Arabidopsis thaliana: one gene and its partners. The protein of the gene in region 2 interacts with the protein of the main gene of each other region in a pairwise test. Each region holds a gene or a part of one and is shown on either strand. Other genes may lie near its edges.

The links.
Region 1: the proteins of AT5G52420 (region 2) and AT1G61610 interact in a protein complementation assay, tested with the Arabidopsis thaliana proteins (one large-scale study listed by BioGRID).
Region 3: the proteins of AT5G52420 (region 2) and AT5G42370 interact in a protein complementation assay, tested with the Arabidopsis thaliana proteins (one large-scale study listed by BioGRID).
Region 4: the proteins of AT5G52420 (region 2) and AT1G47670 interact in a protein complementation assay, tested with the Arabidopsis thaliana proteins (one large-scale study listed by BioGRID).

The regions. Positions count from the first base shown.
Region 1 is NC_003070.9:22,731,604-22,737,405, forward strand, and holds AT1G61610 (S-locus lectin protein kinase family protein), read left to right. Parts: upstream 1-1,755; 5' UTR 1,756-1,868; coding exon 1,869-3,174; intron 3,175-3,256; coding exon 3,257-3,367; intron 3,368-3,445; coding exon 3,446-3,651; intron 3,652-3,739; coding exon 3,740-3,950; intron 3,951-4,026; coding exon 4,027-4,264; intron 4,265-4,352; coding exon 4,353-4,500; coding exon of another isoform or gene 4,501-4,539; exon of another isoform or gene 4,540-4,597; coding exon 4,598-4,906; 3' UTR 4,907-5,255; downstream 5,256-5,802.
Region 2 is NC_003076.8:21,279,987-21,283,347, reverse strand, and holds AT5G52420 (uncharacterized protein), read right to left. Parts: upstream 1,576-3,361; 5' UTR 1,532-1,575; coding exon 803-1,531; 3' UTR 542-802; downstream 1-541. Other genes in the region: AT5G52430 (hydroxyproline-rich glycoprotein family protein), read left to right, coding at 1-255.
Region 3 is NC_003076.8:16,938,457-16,943,662, reverse strand, and holds AT5G42370 (Calcineurin-like metallo-phosphoesterase superfamily protein), read left to right. Parts: upstream 1-1,928; 5' UTR 1,929-2,199; coding exon 2,200-2,316; intron 2,317-2,492; coding exon 2,493-2,903; intron 2,904-2,997; coding exon 2,998-3,138; intron 3,139-3,249; coding exon 3,250-3,357; intron 3,358-3,443; coding exon 3,444-3,749; intron 3,750-3,909; coding exon of another isoform or gene 3,910-3,968; coding exon 3,969-4,164; intron 4,165-4,251; coding exon 4,252-4,334; 3' UTR 4,335-4,682; downstream 4,683-5,206. Other genes in the region: CML37 (calmodulin like 37), read left to right, coding at 348-905.
Region 4 is NC_003070.9:17,536,080-17,541,723, forward strand, and holds AT1G47670 (Transmembrane amino acid transporter family protein), read right to left. Parts: upstream 3,641-5,644; 5' UTR 3,408-3,640; coding exon 3,031-3,407; intron 2,336-3,030; coding exon 2,202-2,335; intron 2,072-2,201; coding exon 1,644-2,071; intron 1,562-1,643; coding exon 1,430-1,561; intron 1,244-1,429; coding exon 755-1,243; 3' UTR 546-754; downstream 1-545. Other genes in the region: AT1G47680 (uncharacterized protein), read left to right, coding at 4,696-5,010. UniProt on the Arabidopsis thaliana protein: Amino acid transporter.

The DNA of each region.
Region 1 (5,802 bases), on a different chromosome or scaffold from region 2:
AATACCATCTGTGAATGTCATTGTGTTCCTTCAATATTGGCGTTTTAGTTTCATATTTAAAACTCATGTTTCTCTCTTTTGGTCGACGGAGACCAAAACAATACTGAATGATTGGTGTTTCCGTGTTTGTAGTTTCTTACCAAACATAGGAAATGACTCTAATACGGGTTTGGTACGACTGAAGAATCCACAAACCATTAGAAAGAATTGTGTTCATTTGAAGCATTTGACAATCTTGATTTCTTTGTTTTTCTTTCGTTGAGAATTATTGATTCAAAAATGAAAAGCATGACAATGTACAAAGGTTTATAGCGTTATCTATGTATTTCACCCTTTGGTTTTTGGGTAGAGCGTATTTCAAACCTGCAGGACTAGTGTTTAAAGTTTTGGTTATAAATGTGTAAAATTTACAAGGGCTTTGAATGTTTCGTAGATTTTGTAAGAGTTTTTGGATTTTGTTTTTCAAAAACTTATTTTCATACCAATCAAGATTTTAAAATTTTGGTTTCCCTACAATTTAGAAAAACTATTTTGTTGTAATTTTCCATTTATGATTTTAGTTTTTTAGTTTTCCTAAAATTTAGGAAATTTAGTTTTTACTTCATCAACGTTATTTATCTCAAAAACTAAAAACCAATTTTTGGGATTTTTAAAACAAATATATAATAACAAAAATCTAAAACTAAAATCTAAAATCTAGAAACTAAAATCTAAATCCAAAAACTGAATCGAAAATCAGCATCCATTCAGGGCCAAGATCTCCAAATTTTACCAGTTGCAAAAATGATGGATGAGAAATATTGTAAAAGTTGATTCATTTTTACATACTTTTTTTATTTATCAATAACGTGAAATTTATTAGTGTTTTTTAAATAACAACTGTCATGTTATTTTAACCGATATCACACTGTTTGATATGAAATCACATTATTTCTTCAAATCAAATGCAAAACACACACACACACCATTTATTTAAGGTTTTGCTATATATATATATATATATTTTTTTTTTTAATAACAAATTTGCTGAAAATTTCTTATCTATAAACCAAAATAAAAATAAAAATAAAAATCTAAGCATATGATAAAGCCATGTTTAAAATGGGTTTGTACCAAACTAGGCTATAAGACGAGGACTTACACGAGTAATAAGTGGTGGGGCAATATAATTCTCCAAAAGTCATGCCTTCGCCAGTATCATGTCACTCACTGTCGGAAAATGTAGTTTATTTGCTTCCTCACACGCATGTCAATGAGTGAATCTGCGCAAGAGGAACTTGTGCTTCGTAATGCAGCTAGATTATATTCATCACAAAATTTGAATTATGCATATTTCCATAATTGCGTTTTGTAAGGTGAAAACGCCACTCAACAATAGAATTTACAGTTTTTCTTCACCAATAAATTTTTGAACTCATAAAAATAAAATTGTACTGTTGTGCCCCAATCTATATTGATTACCATTCTACATTAGTATTTTTATGTATTTAGAATATTTATTTATTTTGGATGTTTTCAACCACCCAAATGAAGAAGGTCGTATTCTCAATAAGAGATAAAAATCAATTGATATATCCTTTTCTTGCCTTAAAAGTCACAATTTTGCACTATAAAATCAAAAGTCTTAAATAAAACGTGAAAGTTCATATTCTTGTCAACACGAATTCGTCGGTTGTCCTTTTCATTCGTTGGTATTTGTTTTTGGAGATGATTTCCACTATTTTCCTCAATTTTAAAGACGACTTTTCTCGTTAAATTGAGAAAGACCAAACTAGTCTACATGAAACTTCGATAGCCACTATTTTTGTTCTTTTCTTTCTTTTCCTTCTTGTTATATACAGATCTCTGAAGCTCAAATCATCTCAAATATGGCAGGATTTAACAGAAACCTTACTTTGGTGACGACTCTTTTGATATTCCATCAACTATGTAGCAACGTATCTTGCTCCACAAGCAACTCATTCACTAGAAACCACACAATACGAGAGGGAGACTCACTGATCAGCGAGGATGAAAGCTTCGAGCTTGGATTCTTCACCCCCAAAAATTCGACGTTAAGGTATGTTGGAATATGGTACAAGAACATAGAACCTCAAACAGTTGTTTGGGTTGCGAATAGAGAGAAGCCGTTGTTGGATCACAAGGGAGCTCTAAAGATTGCAGATGACGGAAATTTGGTGATCGTGAACGGTCAAAACGAAACCATTTGGTCCACAAATGTCGAGCCCGAGTCAAACAACACGGTTGCTGTTCTGTTCAAAACAGGGGATTTGGTTCTGTGTTCAGACTCAGACAGAAGAAAATGGTATTGGGAGAGTTTTAACAATCCAACCGACACTTTCTTGCCCGGTATGAGGGTTCGGGTGAATCCTTCGCTTGGAGAAAATCGCGCATTTATCCCGTGGAAATCCGAGAGTGATCCTTCACCAGGAAAGTATTCAATGGGGATTGATCCTGTGGGAGCACTAGAGATTGTGATTTGGGAAGGGGAAAAGAGAAAATGGCGTAGCGGACCGTGGAATTCGGCTATCTTTACCGGTATACCTGATATGCTCCGTTTCACAAATTATATTTACGGGTTTAAGCTCTCTTCTCCTCCTGATAGAGATGGTAGCGTGTACTTCACGTATGTTGCCTCAGATAGTTCCGATTTCTTGAGGTTTTGGATTAGGCCTGATGGCGTAGAAGAGCAGTTCAGATGGAATAAGGATATCAGGAACTGGAATTTGCTTCAATGGAAACCAAGCACGGAATGTGAGAAGTATAACCGTTGTGGTAATTACAGTGTATGTGATGATAGTAAGGAGTTTGATTCCGGTAAATGCAGTTGCATTGATGGATTTGAGCCGGTTCATCAGGATCAATGGAACAACAGGGACTTCTCAGGTGGCTGCCAAAGAAGAGTTCCTTTGAACTGTAATCAGAGTCTGGTTGCAGGTCAAGAGGATGGGTTTACGGTACTTAAGGGAATAAAGGTGCCTGATTTTGGATCAGTTGTTTTACATAACAACTCAGAGACCTGTAAAGATGTATGCGCAAGGGACTGTTCTTGTAAGGCTTATGCGTTAGTAGTAGGGATCGGATGCATGATTTGGACCCGTGATTTGATCGATATGGAACATTTTGAACGCGGTGGAAACTCTATCAACATCCGGCTAGCGGGTTCTAAACTAGGTTTGGAAAAATGTTTAAGCTATCATATAACATTGTGAAAGATTTAAACATGACTAATCTGTTTCTTTTGTTGTGTATACAGGTGGTGGGAAGGAAAATTCAACACTTTGGATAATTGTTTTCAGTGTTATAGGAGCATTCTTACTAGGATTATGCATTTGGATCTTATGGAAGTTTAAGAAAAGCCTTAAAGGTAAAGTCTCTATTCGTACATAGTCTTGTTTCACAAGAATTAAACTACTGAGACTGTCAATTACTCCATGATCTGCAGCTTTCTTGTGGAAGAAGAAAGATATCACAGTTTCTGATATCATAGAGAACAGAGATTACTCAAGCTCGCCGATCAAAGTTCTAGTAGGGGATCAAGTTGACACACCCGATTTACCAATATTCAGTTTTGACAGCGTAGCCTCAGCTACTGGAGATTTCGCTGAAGAGAACAAGCTTGGACAGGGCGGATTCGGTACTGTATATAAGGTAGAAAATGATTTTTTTTTTCTGACAATAATACTGGATAATAAAACTTTGCTTTGTATGCAAAAACTTATGTGTTATGTTTGGACAGGGAAACTTTTCAGAAGGAAGAGAGATTGCAGTGAAGAGACTATCAGGGAAATCTAAACAAGGACTAGAGGAGTTCAAGAACGAGATCTTACTAATCGCGAAACTCCAGCATCGGAATCTTGTTAGATTACTAGGATGTTGCATTGAAGACAATGAGAAGATGCTTCTCTATGAATATATGCCAAACAAGAGTTTGGACCGCTTTCTTTTTGGTATGTTTTTTTCTAAACAATTTCAATTAAAATGTTTTGAAAATGTTCGGATTGAGTATATAATGACTCTGCGCAGATGAGAGTAAACAAGGAAGTTTGGACTGGAGAAAACGATGGGAGGTCATTGGAGGAATCGCGAGGGGATTACTTTACTTACATAGAGACTCAAGACTAAAGATCATTCACCGTGACCTAAAAGCTAGCAATATCTTGCTAGACACGGAAATGAATCCAAAGATCTCGGATTTCGGTATGGCTAGGATATTCAACTACCGACAAGACCATGCCAACACAATCCGAGTCGTCGGCACATAGTAACTTAACAAACCTCTTTATCTCCTCTAAATTAAACAATATCGAACTCTATCAATTTTTAATGATTTTGATGTTCAACAAGTGTAGTGGTTATATGGCTCCGGAGTATGCAATGGAAGGGATATTCTCAGAGAAATCAGATGTGTATAGCTTTGGAGTGTTGATATTGGAGATTGTGAGTGGAAGAAAAAACGTTAGCTTTCGAGGGACTGATCATGGAAGTCTCATTGGTTATGTACGTCTCTTTTCTTTAACCATAAATTTTCAGGTCTAACTAAAATATTCGAATATTTGTTACTAATGAATGTTCTAAACGGAAAAAAAAAAATAAGGCGTGGCATTTATGGAGCCAAGGAAAGACAAAAGAGATGATAGATCCAATTGTGAAGGACACTAGAGACGTGACGGAAGCGATGAGATGCATCCACGTGGGTATGTTGTGTACACAAGACTCGGTCATTCACAGACCAAACATGGGTTCGGTTTTGTTGATGTTGGAGAGTCAAACCAGTCAACTTCCACCCCCGAGACAGCCGACCTTCCACTCGTTCTTGAACTCTGGTGACATTGAACTCAACTTTGACGGTCACGATGTTGCCTCCGTTAACGATGTTACTTTCACAACAATTGTTGGTAGATGACTCACTGACCAGAAGTTATTTTTCCCCAAAACGCTCTTTGACTATCCATTTGGTCTCGAACTCTTTTCTCCATAGTTTTCAACTTTTTATACATAATTAAATTCTTCGTTGAAAATATTATAATACATGTACATTGACGATGAAAAACTAATCGGATTTGTACACAACATACTTTTAGCAACAAAAGAGAAGAAGCTCAACAACATACTTAATTGTGAAGAAAAAAGCGTTGTTGTTCGAACATGAATTGGAGAAGTTGGAATATGGACAAAGGTAGTGGCATCGAAGGAGGAATTTCCAGTGATTTGAGATTTAATGAGTTTTAAGATGATTTTGTTGAATTTTAGGGAATTAGAAAATTTGTTATTAAATTTATAAAAATCTTCCCTTAAATCATATGATTTGGACATTTGTATTCTTAATTTTTTTTTTTTTGACATCTCACATATTTCTTTTTTAAAAAACTGTAAAACCATAAAAAAAAAAAAATTATTTACGGTTTCTATATGATTATAGCTTTTATAAAACTAAAAACCGTAAAACCAAAAAACCGAAGTGAAACCAAACCGAAAAACGGTATGCCCATCCCTAGGGCTAGTAATGAAATCAACACTCTTGAAGTGGAGTTATCTACATTTTTATGTTTGATTATAAATTATATTTTTCCACCCATTTGTAAAAATCCTATTTAAAAGAGAAAATTTTCATTTATAACTAAGTTCTCATTTGTGAACAATGTTGGTTGATTTGATTCTACATTTTAAAATTAATAATCCAATAACACTTGAGTTTTACAAACTTTTTAAATTCATGTTTGAATAACACAAGATTTTAATACAAATCACACCAAAACCTTTATTCAAGATTTTATTTTACCTATCTCTCCTAGTAAACAT
Region 2 (3,361 bases):
AATCGATCACACGACAGAATGAACAACAATGACCGGATCGAAACAGAGGAGAGTTCATCAACAGACATAAGAAGAAACATAGAGAAAAGGTCAGGAGACAGAGAGAACGAACAGCATAGAATTCAGAAGCTGAGTTCCTCATCGATTGGATCTAGCAAAGAATTTAAATTCGACAACACGAAAGACGAGAATATCGAGAAGGTTGCAGGAAACAGCTGGAGTTTCTTCCCGGGGTTACGATCTGGAGTCAGCTAACCAAATTAAAATGACATCTCTTCTTCTTCTTCCTCATTACCAAAGACAGAGATATAAAACCCTATAAGTAACAAACCTTGAACATGGATCGTGAAAAAAGGTAAGAGATTTGGGTTCTAACAACTTATACACACTGAATAAATAAGCTTAAAGCTTTGATTTGCAGTTAACTTCTGTACTCATGTAGTTGGAAACTTTGGAATATTCTTGGATCAGCTCCTACATCTAATCTTGTTACATTGATATAAATTGTTTATTTCTTGTTTTACTGTTTCATACAAATATATTGTTTGAACTGAGATCGTGAATGGTCTTATTCTATATCATTACTAAAACATTTTCATTTCTGTTCTTTCAGAAACATAGATTCGGTTATTATCGTAAGAAATCTAATACAACTGTGAACTACTACATAAACTGAATTGTTCAAAAGAAAACATCGAAATAATATACAGAACAAAAAGGGAAAACAACAAGAGCTGTGAACCACAAAGGAATTAAACCGGGTTTTGACTCTCCTTATTGGAACCGGAACTAAACCGGGATTTCAATCCTCCTTATCAGAACCGTAATACCTCTTAAACGCTCTGGGTAGATAAACCGGAATCAAAACACCAAAGAGATTAAACGACCAAATCCCTAAATTAGCCGCCGCCAAAACTTTCCCGGCATACATCCGCCGCGCAGAAACCGTCCCCGTCACATCCTCCCTCGAGAACTCACTCATAATCCACTCCACAAGAGTCAAAACCCTCCTGGCGTTGTAAACAATCGGAACAAGAATCCTCGCCGGAGCAGAGAAGCCAAACATGGTCGCTAATCCTTCCATAAAAATCTGACTCGCTAAAAGAAACACGTGCGGTGCAGCTGCGCTAACACCGTTCTTATCATCCTCAACGATTCCTTCGAAGATGTAACAGATCGGAATGATAAGCCCGACGATCCCCGCCGCTGTAACATAGATACGGAAGATTTTGTTTGTGGAGCTTGTGAGAGGAGCGTCACGGTTTGGATTGTTGTGTGGTGGGAAGATAAGTTTCGAGAGGAAGAAGAAGTAGATGAGAGTGAGGATCGTGAATATGAAATCTTGGATTGTTACGAGACCACTTGCGGAGAGAACGATGATTATTGCGAGGATGTTTAGTTGTCGGAATGAGAAGAATCCGGCGGGTTTTCCGGTGGATGATACTGTTGAGGTGGATTGGGTTTGATGTTCTTCTTCTTCTTCTTTGGGTAAGGTTATGTCGTTGTACGTTGGACCGACACCTCCAGACATCGTTTTGGTGTAAGTTTTTTTTTTTTGTTTTCTCGGGAAAATGTGGTGAGAAAGTTTTAGAGGTGGAGGAAGATAAAAAGAGTGTGAAGAAGGGGACACGTGGCGGATAGTGAAGAGTTTTGAATGGAAGAGGTTTAGAAGACGTGGCGGATTATTGTTGTGCTCACAATTAGTTTAGATTTTATTATTTTAACTACATGCAGGTAATTTCGTAAAAGTTCTTAAGAAACATATAAATATATGTGTTAATAGGAAGCCTAATTATTTTGGCTTTCTGGACGTAAGTGCACTAGGCTTTGTAGTTATAGATTTCAATTATAAGCTTCAATGATTACTAGTTATAAAAAATGATATAATTAGTTAGCAGGAAATGAATCCGGAACCATAAACTGTAGAATTGATTTAACTAAAAAGGAACTAATTACTAGAAATCGTATGAAACAAGGCATTGTAGATTACTAGACTTGTAGTAGAATATGGAATATTGTAGATATTCTACAAGAAGAGCTTAGATCATGGGTGAGAATACTTGGTTGTAGAAACAACTTTAAATTCGACCTCCAATGTCAAAGTGTCATTGTCCAAGTAATTACACTCCCGATGGCTATAGCCGCAAAATCTTCGCAACCCCACCCTTGAGTTGATTTCTTGTAACAGACGTTAACTGCAAGAAAAATAAATATATGTAAGGTATTGAAAATTTAGTTAAGACTTGAAAAAAGCAACTAAGTGATTTATTCAAGAATATAGAAAATTGTGTTTCAAAGTTAATTATACGTTTCTGTGTGACGTGATTGTTGTATACATGTGGACGTGGGTATAATACTCGGAGATCTGCATGCACGTAAATCTTCTCATCCTCCGAAAAGGTTTCACTATCAGCTATATATATGCAGAAATAAGGACAACCATTTGCCATCTGCCTCTCTTCCCTTTGGATACATCTTCAAACACCTATAGAAAAGTCACATTATTTTGTATACACTTAGCATACATAGACGTGTATATATATTCAATGACTTATTAGCCTCACCATTCTCTTCCTCCAACTGAAAAGTTGTTTGACACATAAAGATTCTCTGTCAATAAGGAGAAACCATTGGCACTCCAGGAGAATGTGGATGGTGAGAGTTTCTGATCAAAAGACATCACTTCCCAATTGGTAAGGGGTGGAACAACCATCACTTCAACACCAAACTCGCATTTTTGCCCGTCGAATATATATCCATTTTTTGGATTTTCGAATAAGTGGAGAGGAAGCATTTGAGAGAATCCCCATACCATTCTTAAAGCATTGAAACGCTTTACTTCAGTATCTATTAGAAAAAATGGAGTAATTCAACGTGACATATGTGACAAATGAACAAGTCTTATATAGTTAATATAAATATTGAATAATATAGATATGTTTTAAACCAACAACTTTGAATAGTAAAGTACATTTGTTCTTTCTTATTGTAGACGAAGAACTTGACATATGCAAAAACTTCAGATGTGCTGTCTATTTCTACGTACATTGAAATATAACCACTTCCATGGTCCTCGTCGTTCCCTTTTGGATATATAATCAATTTCCTGCAGGTTTTCTTTTTAACAGAAATATTATTGCATAAAGTAAGAAAGATTCATGTTCTTTTCTTATGATGAAGATTTAATTTAACCCTTCAGGAGCTAATGTGTACATAGTAAAATCATGGTCTATATGTGTTACATGTCTCATAAAACATAAATGGTAATATATAAGAGCAAGATTATAGCTACATACCAGTAATACCCGCCTACCGTGAAACGACGAGATTGGTATTTTTCATTGTTAAGTTGTGCGAGATT
Region 3 (5,206 bases), 4.3 Mb from region 2:
ACTTTTCTTAATCTAGTCGTCGATATGACATCACATTTCACACAATACGTGAGAAAAACTTACCATCACATTATTACGAAAACACCCCTAGTCGTGGTCAACTTGACCTTTCCCCACAAACACTCATTGCGGAGGAAACTTCCCGGCCACCGCCGCGCAACCGCCTCTAGCTTTAAATAATAACACCAAAATATTCAAACCCGTGTTTTAACCGTCGAACAATCAAGAATCTCTCCACCATTACACGCATTCACATACTCATCTATATATAATCTACCACTTCTTGAAAAGAATTTGCATCAGAAATCCATTTCCCAAATCTTCTAGATTCATATTCAAATCAAGAAATGACTCTCGCTAAGAACCAAAAATCATCATTGTCACGACTATACAAGAAAGTTTCCTCGAAGAGATCAGAATCGTCAAGAAACCTTGAAGACGAATCAAGAACGAGCAGTAATAGTAGCGGAAGCAGCTCGTTAAACGTTAACGAGCTAAGAACCGTTTTTGACTATATGGATGCAAACTCAGACGGGAAAATCTCCGGTGAAGAGCTACAAAGCTGCGTTAGTCTCTTAGGCGGCGCGTTATCGTCACGTGAGGTGGAGGAAGTGGTGAAGACATCAGACGTTGACGGAGACGGGTTTATAGATTTTGAGGAGTTTTTGAAGCTTATGGAAGGGGAAGATGGTAGTGATGAAGAAAGGAGGAAGGAGTTGAAAGAAGCGTTTGGGATGTATGTTATGGAGGGGGAAGAGTTTATTACGGCGGCGAGTTTACGGAGGACGTTGAGTCGACTCGGCGAGTCGTGTACGGTTGATGCTTGTAAGGTTATGATTCGTGGGTTTGATCAGAATGACGATGGAGTTCTCAGCTTTGACGAGTTTGTTTTGATGATGCGTTGAGATGATATATATGGGATTGGGACATCTTCCTTCCCTCCTCAAAATTTTATTCATTCAATTATTATTTTTGTGAGAGATTCTTATTCCTTTGTATATTTGTGTCTCATCTAATCTATTTGTATTATTTAACACACTTCATAATAAACGTGTCTTGTTTTGATATTCTGAATTTGTCAAAACATACAAAATGTGTTTATATGTCTCCCCATAACTGAGAATACCCAATTAAGGGGACTAAAATCTAAAACTGCGAGTCGTAAAAGAGGCCAGTCATCACCACCATTTGCCGCTCGACCAATGTCACTAGGTGAGTGAGAAACAACCGATAACGCGCGTATATTCTCACATCACTCATTTTTTGGTAGAGGTCGGTAAAACATTTCATATCGTTTGACGTTTGTAAATCTACAGTTTTATTATGCTAGAACAATGATATTGATTCACATTATTGGATGTTTCTATAATTACAGTTACAAACAGATACATAATTATTGCACCAATTCACTTTTTCTATTCAATAAGAGATAATATTGTTTGTAAACCTTTTAACTAAAACGATCCGCTTCGAAACTTGTTTCTTAATGTCTAAAACAATATTACACTTCACAATTTTGCCATCCGTAGAAGTCTCTAGTGTAAAAAATTCTGAATTTGCATGGTTCCGGGGAAATTTTATACAATCTAGAAAATTGGAATAAAATTTTCATAAAATTATTTTTTTGGTCGGATAAAGTTTTCATAGAAGAACACATATTAAATGGATTTATCATCACATAGTAGTAGATAAACAATTTAAATTATGTAATACAAATCAAAATGAATTAATCTATTTGCCACATATAGTGAATTTGATTTCTATTCAAAGGGGAAAATACAAATTCATTTTTAATATGTAGTAGATATTTGTTTCTCAAGTAATTAATATTCATATTTAAAAAATCATTGCATATGTTAAACAAATCTACAAAAAAATTCAATGGTCATTCCATAATTATAAATAATACGGATATTTCACAAATTCACTTTTTGTTTGGAACCCAGAAAAAAGATTCATAAAACCAGGCAATAGAAATTTCATCTGAAGAAAAGAAAAAGTAAAGCTATTAAAAATCAAAGCCACGAGAAGAAAGTAGAAAAAGTTACAGTCTCTGTCTATCAAAATCCCAACGGTAACTGAAAATCGCCGGAACCGAATCTGCGGCGAGCCAAAACTTGTGGATCTTTTAATGAAAACTTGAAGATTCCTCTTTCCACGGTTGCTTCTAGGGTTTTCTCTTCGATTCACCACATCGTCATGAACCAAATCTCTTTCTGGTGCCTTTCTTTACTCCTTACGGTGGTGATTGCTGCAGAAGAGACTCCTATCACTCGTATAGCCTTCGGATCATGCGCTAATCAAAGTGCTCCACAGGTAAATCAATCGTACAACCCCTACTTGGCTCTGGATTCAGTGTTTTAAGACTGCTCTGTTTGGCTGGTGTTTAAGTGAGCTGATTATGGTTTTTGTTTAATTAGCCGATGTTCTCTTAGATGATATAAGCTTGTGTTGCATACTATGTTAAACATTGTATTTTTGTTACATTTTAGCCGATATGGGATGCGATAAACAAGTTTGATCCGCAACTGTTTATTTGGTTGGGTGATAACATCTACGGAGATATAAGAAGACCACTTACAGTCATTGGGAAAGAGAGAACTTTTGGGCCATGGAGGAATTCACCGAGGTTTGTACCTTCTTCAGAGGAAGAAATGAAACTAAGATACGCTAAAGCCAAAGCTAATCCTGGATATTCTCGTATTCAGAGAAAAGCTAAGGTTATTGGTACATGGGATGATCATGATTACGGATTGAATGACGCTGGAAAAGAGTTTGATCGTAAAGTCATTAACCAAAAACTTATGCTTGATTTCTTGAATGAGCCTCTTGATAGTCCTAGGAGAAAGCAAGCTGGTGTTTATGCTTCTTATACTTATGGTCCGCCTAATCGGAAAGTTAAGGTATTAACAGAAACTCTTGTCTTCTTTGGTAGTTTTGTTAAGTTTAGAATGAAGAGCTTATATGTGATTTAACACAGTTGTGTATCTCCTTCAGGTTATAGTTTTAGATACTAGATATCATAGAGACCCTTTAAGAAGTGACGGGAGCATATTGGGTGATACGCAGTGGGACTGGCTCGAAAATGAATTGAGCGGTCCCCGAAGCGAAATCACTATCATAGGATCCTCTGTTCAGGTATCTGCAAATTAGACTTTTGTGTCCTGTTCCAGTTTGGCCATGGACTTAAACTTGATGAAGCCTGAGTGTCTTATTCCATCTAGAACTGTTGTCTCTTAACTTGTCCAGGTGATATCAAATCTTTCTGCTACCACTGGACCTCTCTTTTATATGGAATCATGGGGTCGTTTTCCAAAGGAAAGGAAACGTCTTTTTAAACTGATAGCAGATACTAAGGTATGGGATTGTTGACAGTAATGTTTCCAACTGTCAGTTTTCTTCTTTCCTCGTCCCCATAATTCTTCGTTGCTTTGACATTACAGAGAGATGGAGTTATATTCATCAGTGGAGATGTACATTTTGGAGAAATCACGAGATATGATTGTTCTGTTGGGTACCCATTATATGATGTCACCTCCAGTGGTCTAGTACAATCTGTTGAGAAAGTTGTCCCTCGTCCCTTGCGTTCCATAGTTAGGCTTCTTTTTTGGTATACTCCAAGCACGATGAGAGTTATCAATGATAACTGCAAATTCAAATCTTGCACATACGGTATTATTCTCAATTTGATTCCTTTTACGTTTTCTTCTGATAAACTGTGGAAAGATTTATTGACAAGCCAAGACACAGTGAGTCTACTTTAAGTTCCAACTTTAGCTCTATAGCTCTACTGTCACTAACCTAGGACGGAATATAGTAGACTGTAACTGTTGTGAGTTGATTTAACAGAGCAGCGATGTACTCTTTTGTATGATTACATTGGTTACAATATCTTAAACTTACGTGCAGGACAACAAAATTTTGGAGCAATATCGATAGATTGGAATGCAAATCCGGTTACCATAAAGCTCGAGATCAGAGATGTTAACGGAGACACTGTACTAGGCACGAATGTTTCATTATCTGAACTCCAACCAGGAGGCTCGAATTCTTTAAAAGATACAACAACTAAGGGAAAGTCTCAACGATATTGCACACTCGAAATTGAATTACCAGGAACGACCAGATACCGATTGGCAGTTCTCATCTACTTCACCATTGCTGGTATGTCATTCTTCCTCACTGTGGTTGGTCATGATGAAAGAATGTTGCGGAGTACTGATATATACGTTGTTTGATTGGGTTCGACAGTCTTGGCAATGGCGATATTAGGACTTATCATTGGAGCTGTATTGGCCATAACAGCATGCGTTTATAAATGCAAGGTCGATTGATTGTTGATGACATTAATCAACTTTTTTTGGTCCAACAAAAGTGTCTTTATGACTTATAATCTGTATTAGTTGGATTATTCAGGGATTACAATTCGGATGTAGCTTATAATGTTAAAAATTGTTGAACACATGGATTTTGATCTTGTGATGGGAATTCTAAGCTTGAGCTGTTATTAATTAAACTTCTTTGAAAGAGAATGTTTGTGAACACAAGTTAAATTCTAGACTACATGCAATAGCATTATAGTTTCCAGTTTCTTTTTTCTTTTATTATTGTAAACCAAGGTTTATCGTTTATTACATATGAAGGTTTTCACTGTCTATTTGTAATAAATTAAACAAATTAAAGTTTTTATAATTTCAGTAATGATCTCAAAACGGATACTAGCTTTGATTGGTGAACAAAAACAAAGTATATTGGCTTTGATTGGTGAACAAAAACAAAGTATTACAATTTGTACCGCTTTTATTTCTGTTAATTACAAAAGCTTTTTTAAAGCGTTACAAAAAGTTTTACTCTCAGCTTTATTACTATATAGCTTTCTCGTACAACTATTTTTTTACAACTTTGCAGTATTCCGAAAAAGTTTTTATCACCGTTAACAGTTAAGATTTGAACAGCTGTATGTTACCGATAGGATCCACTATACTTCCCAAATCTGATGTTAATTAGTAATATGAGGTTAATTTTTTACTATTTTATTGAAAAAGCGATATTCTTGCAATTGACCCATAATTGAGTCAGCTTAATTTCCATTTATTTTTTTTTTGTTTTTTATTTATTTTTTTAGCTTCCGCTTTCTGCAGTATGATCTATTTAAAATAAAATAAAAAAGGGAAAAGTGGGAAATCGATGCGTCAATCTTAGGTCT
Region 4 (5,644 bases), on a different chromosome or scaffold from region 2:
ACTTGTTCTATTTGTGTTTGGGCCGAATTGGGCATGGAGGGCAAAGCCCGTATCCCACAATCTCATTGGCGGTCCGACACTTCACCTAGAACATGACAGAGAAATCGACTCGATGTACATTGAGGGTATTAAATGCGTAATAGACATGAAACCATGCACACATCTAAATTCTCATGTACAAAAAGACACTCTAAAAACATGCCCCGTATCTGCTCTTATACAAATCGTAGTGCAGTCGTCCGTCGACAGGGGTATACTTGTACATCAATTTTCATCAAACATGAGCTTCACCAATTCTTATGTCAAGTCGCTTGATATCAACATATGATATCATGTAATTCTATATACTTTCCCTCTTCCCGCAGGATCCAAAAAGTTGTGCAGAACAAAAGATCATCCGAGAATATCATCTTTCATACACTAAAACGATTACTTTGAATCCGAATTCTTGATCTAGCTTAATTTAGTTTAATACTCATGTATCGTTATTTTTAGTAGTATCAAAATAATTTGAAAAAAAGATGGAAAAGAGAAAACCACGTTGGGAAAATTCCAGCTAGGGATTCAACAGAGGCACACAAGTGTGATTCTTCAAAATTCCAAATTCTTTATATTGAAAAGCTTACTGAATTATAATACACATTACATTGTTCCAACTTCAAAACATAGGCACTCTTAAACAAAACACAGAAATACAAAATCTCTTAAAACTTCAAACTTCCCAACCAAACAAAACCACATAGGCTATTACTACTTAGTTAGGCGGCTTGAAGAACTTGAGCTTAAGTCCATTGGTAACCATACTCCAGATCCCACCTATGGAGAATGCCAAGCTGAATGCAACTCCCAACCAACCTAATCCCCAATGGAAATACCAATTGAAACTGTATTTCGCCGGTTTCTTAATCAAGACCCACATGAAGCAAGGATAAGCAAATGTGACCGGGAGAGTGAGTCCACCGAGCAACCCCGCAAGACTAGACAGAAAAGGGAGAGCAACACCGATGAAAAACGAGACAAAACCAAAAAAGACTCGGAAACCTGATCTGACCCAAATCGAACACGGCTTGTTGGTTCTGCTTGTGTAGCCAGCTTCAAAGCTGTCAAAGGCAGGCATGGAGTATATCTGAAAACTGCTCAAGCAGCTGAAGACTACTAGGAGAAATGCCGTCGCTAATAAGCCTCTCGGGATATCGTGAATGTGGAATGCATACAAAGCAGCAAGCATACCTCCTGAAGGCATCTATAAGACCAAGAAAAAATAACTTCAAACTAATCCGGAAATTGAACCAAAGATCAGAAAACGAACTATAAATAAATGATATTAGTGTTCCTTTTGAATTCTATATTTCACTAACATGAACCAAACACCAGATAAACATCCTTCACTGACAAGACATAAACAAAAGATATAGTAAATGGAACTTACAAGGTTCCCATAAGCCCAAAAGCCTCCGATGGAGATTGGAAAGATACACAGAGCAATGAGGAAGTAAGAGATTTTGGCTCCTCTCCACATTGGTACGTGAGCAGGATGCTTAAACGTTGATGGCATCGTCGACTACAAAGTTTTCAATACTCAGAATAAATCATAAGTCCAATATGTGCATTATCTATAGACAGAAATATTTTGCATATTTTACCTGAATTTCCAAAACCAAGTTGTGACCTCTGAAGGCAAAAGCTATAATGCCAAGAGCATTCAAAACAGCGAAGAGTGAACCAGAAGTCGAAGGCATAGAAAGAGGCTCGTATGAGATAGTGGCTGGTCTTGGTTGGCTCACAGAGAGAACCCAAACCATTGTGGAGTAAGTTATTGCAGTCACTGCTCCTATTAAGGAGAGTCCCGCAATAGAATTGAGGTTTGGTAGCTGAGACAGAACGATGCAGAGAGATGTAAACACCAAATACCATTCAACTGTTGTTAACGGATTCGAGGTGCATAATGGACCGCAAACTATCTGGAAGAAGAGTTTCATTGTCTCTCCACCGATCAGAATCAGCGCTGTCGCGGTTCCTGCTGATAAGTAAACCGTAGGAAACAATGCAAGCCATACTCCTAACCTTTCTCCTGTTCCAATCAAGAGTACAAGATTTAGTAATAGCAACTTAGCAAGACACAAAATTAGTATCAATAATAATTGTCACTATTGATGCATTATTTCATCATTCTTAATGTAAAACTAAATTTATCATTTTACCAAAAGCAGCTTGTGCAAGCTCGACATATCGATTGTAGCGTTTCCCGGGGACAGCTTCGTGCAACTGAACCAGAATCCACAGTGTGTAGAGTTGCCAGCAATATGCTATTGTTAAAGACAGTATTCCCCAACTCCTGTAACAACAATAATTCACTTCTTGAAGTTTGGAAATAATATATGTGCATTTTCTTACATAAGAATCTCAAATACATGATCATTGCAATATCATTATTCATCACTAAGCTATTTAAGTATTGAACTAGCCAAATGCTCCACCTTAACAAGTTATGTATAGTTTCAAATATTAGAACTTGCAATAAAAAATATTTATCTAAATATAAGTTTATAAGAAGAAATAGTCATCTATTATGACGTCAACTACATGCCCTACTTATATATACACAATAAATACTTTTCAGAAAAGTGTTTTTTGCCGGAAATTAACAAGAAACAAAGTAGACGATAAAGAAGGCTCTGTCTTAATCCAAATTAAAGCAAAAAAGTATGTCTGTGAGTATCCACATGTGTAATGATGGAAGCATGACAAATTAAAAAGAAAATATCTACTGCTAAAATTGAAATGTTTTCAAAGTTAAAAAGTAAATTAGTCAATATCCTATTATTATTTCCGACAAGAAAAACATTTTTGATTTTTGCCCAAACAAGTAAAGTGAACCCTGAAACTGGATCTGAGCACCACAGAGAGTCGAATAAACCCTCGCCGTTCACTAAACAAAAATAATCTTGAAACACTAAACACAAAGTTCAAGAAAAAACTCAAAAACAAGAAAAAAGATTATTGGAAAAATCAAGAAAAACGCAAACGCACCAGCCAAGAAACGCAAACGCGACGGGAAGAACAAGGGCTTGAAAACCAACACCAGCGTTGAGATTGTGAAAAGCAGCGTAATGAGCGTTTCCATTACGAGATTCAGTGATTGGAAGCCAAGCATCTTGTGGGTTTAGCTTAGTGAGATGACCAACTTCTTCAAGATACCCTTTCATGTTCACAAGAACTCGTTTCATTGGTGTACCAATCGGACTCAAGAACCTCGGTGATATGAACGAAGTCGGAGTCCATGTCGCCGACGATGGTTTGGTGGCCGGACGAGGTGATCTTTGACCGGAGGGAGTTAGAATCTCCGGTGTTGAAACTCGTGGTGTGGCTGGTATTGATATTAGCTCTGTCTCGGGTCTTTCGTCCATTGGAGCAGGTGAAGAGTGCGAGAAGAAATGATGTTTTTTTTTTGTTCTCACTATCACTCTCTCTCTCACTCACTCCCTATTTAGAGGGGTGGTTTTTTTTAGGACAACTTTATTGGTATTGAAACAAATTTTTATTTAATTACAAGAAGAGGACAGATTAACTAACGAAATTTACAATTAAATGACAATCAAAGTTGATAATTAAAGAACATGACATGATTATTTATAATGGTCTCAACAGTAACAATTTTTTTTTTGTAACATTACGACAAAAGTAACCTTCCCCATCAATACAAAAGTTCTGAACATATGTTTGTTTGACCAGTAAGTACTAAGTATTATGATGGTGAGGTCAAGTTTTTGAACATTATGACCAATTTGTTTATTTTTTAGCAAAAAATTGACATGAAATAGGTGTTGATGATCATAATCACTTTAAGTTAGCTGAAATATTTCACCTTATCTGAGTGGAAAAATAACATTGATATATGTAAATTAAAAAATAACAATGAAATATGTAGATTAAAAAGTAACACTGAAATATCTTAGCAAAGTAAAAAGTAACACTTCAAACATGTAAATGAAAAAATAGAGAGAAGAATTTTTGAGGCCAAGCAAAATTTGCAACTCACCTTACTCTTTCATAAAAAAATTCAATACAACAATTTAATTTTACCAAGGGATTAGAGATATCGATTATATAAGGGAGTGAATGCACTATAACACCCTTCATAAACCACCATTAACTCAGTTTAAATATTTGATACAAAAATTTATCTTTGTTCTTTCTCTAATATGCATTATACAAAATAACTATTTAAAAGATTCGCAAACTCATTTCTTCAGTTTTTTACTTAAAAATAAGATAAATACATTTTGGAGTTGGATCTAAACTCAACATCACTTTTTGGATGATTGAAGATTTACAGGATATGCTTGTCTGAAAATAATAGATTTGGAGTTAGCAAAATCTTTGTATTCTAGTGATAAAATAGATACGAGTAAGCAAAATAAATTGATACACATAATTGTAATGAAGTTTGGTCTTTCAAACTACATCCATGGAATTACATAATTGCAAACGTATAAACCAAATCCATTTGCTCTGACCTACCACTAAGCTAAATTACATCTAAATTTAGAGTTTAGTCATGATTTGAAAAGGAAGAGTTACAAATTATGTCCAACTTGACGTTATTTGTATTTTATTTTCTTGTATCTCTTCTACCATCTACTAAAAGGAGATATCTTGCTCTTCAAGTTAGGAATTATCCAACATCACTTGTCGATGGACTTTCTACTGAAGCTACAAGGACATGACATGCTCGGTTATATCATATTGGAGTTGATTCACAGAGAAGATGTTGGAGAAGTACATGAAGAAGATGATGGCATGGAGGATATCACTAAAAAATACCATAATGAGGTTGGTGAAGTAGTTCAAGGAGTACCACAACTGAGAAGGTCGGGTCGACAAATAAGTCAGTCGCGGTACCTTGAAGACTATGTTATGCAGTCCGAAACAACTTATGGATTGTTCCACCAAGCTTATGTTAAAAGTAAGAGACGTCAACTTTCAACAAGTAATGAGCCAAGAGGCTAAAGATGTGCTTTAATGGAGGAAAGATGTGAAGAGGAGTTTGAATCAGTCAACAAGAACAAGATGGTTCCTTGTTGACATATTCATTCAAGTTTTGATCGGTTCAAAAGCTTTTCAAGAGTTTTAGAGAAGCAAGTCGGCTTGTCTATTAAAACCTTTTGTACCGATAAAGGAGGAGACTTTACTTCAAGGGAGTTCAATCGATGTTGCATAGAGGAGGAGTCTCCAGGTATCTAATGAAGATTCTAAATGATATGTGGAGAGAAGTCGTACGTCATTGAAAGATCATGGGACTACATCTAAAGAAACTAGATGAAGAGTCAAGAAGTATAATCACGAGGCTGCATCTCAAGAAGGTAGATGATTGGTCAATCTTGGAACTAAGTCAGATTTTAGAGATGTTTAAACCAAGTTGGGTTTTATTAGAGAATATCAAAACAAGCAAGGTCATGGTATTTGGGTGTTTTGTACTAGTCATTGAAGTACAAGTAATATTTAGCTAAGAAAGCTGAAATGAGTATGATACATTGCAACACACCGAAATTTAATTAGCCCACGATATATCATAAACAAAAATTTTTCCACACAATTTTAACTAAATCAACATGTTTCGACATGTCAAAATATCATAATAAGG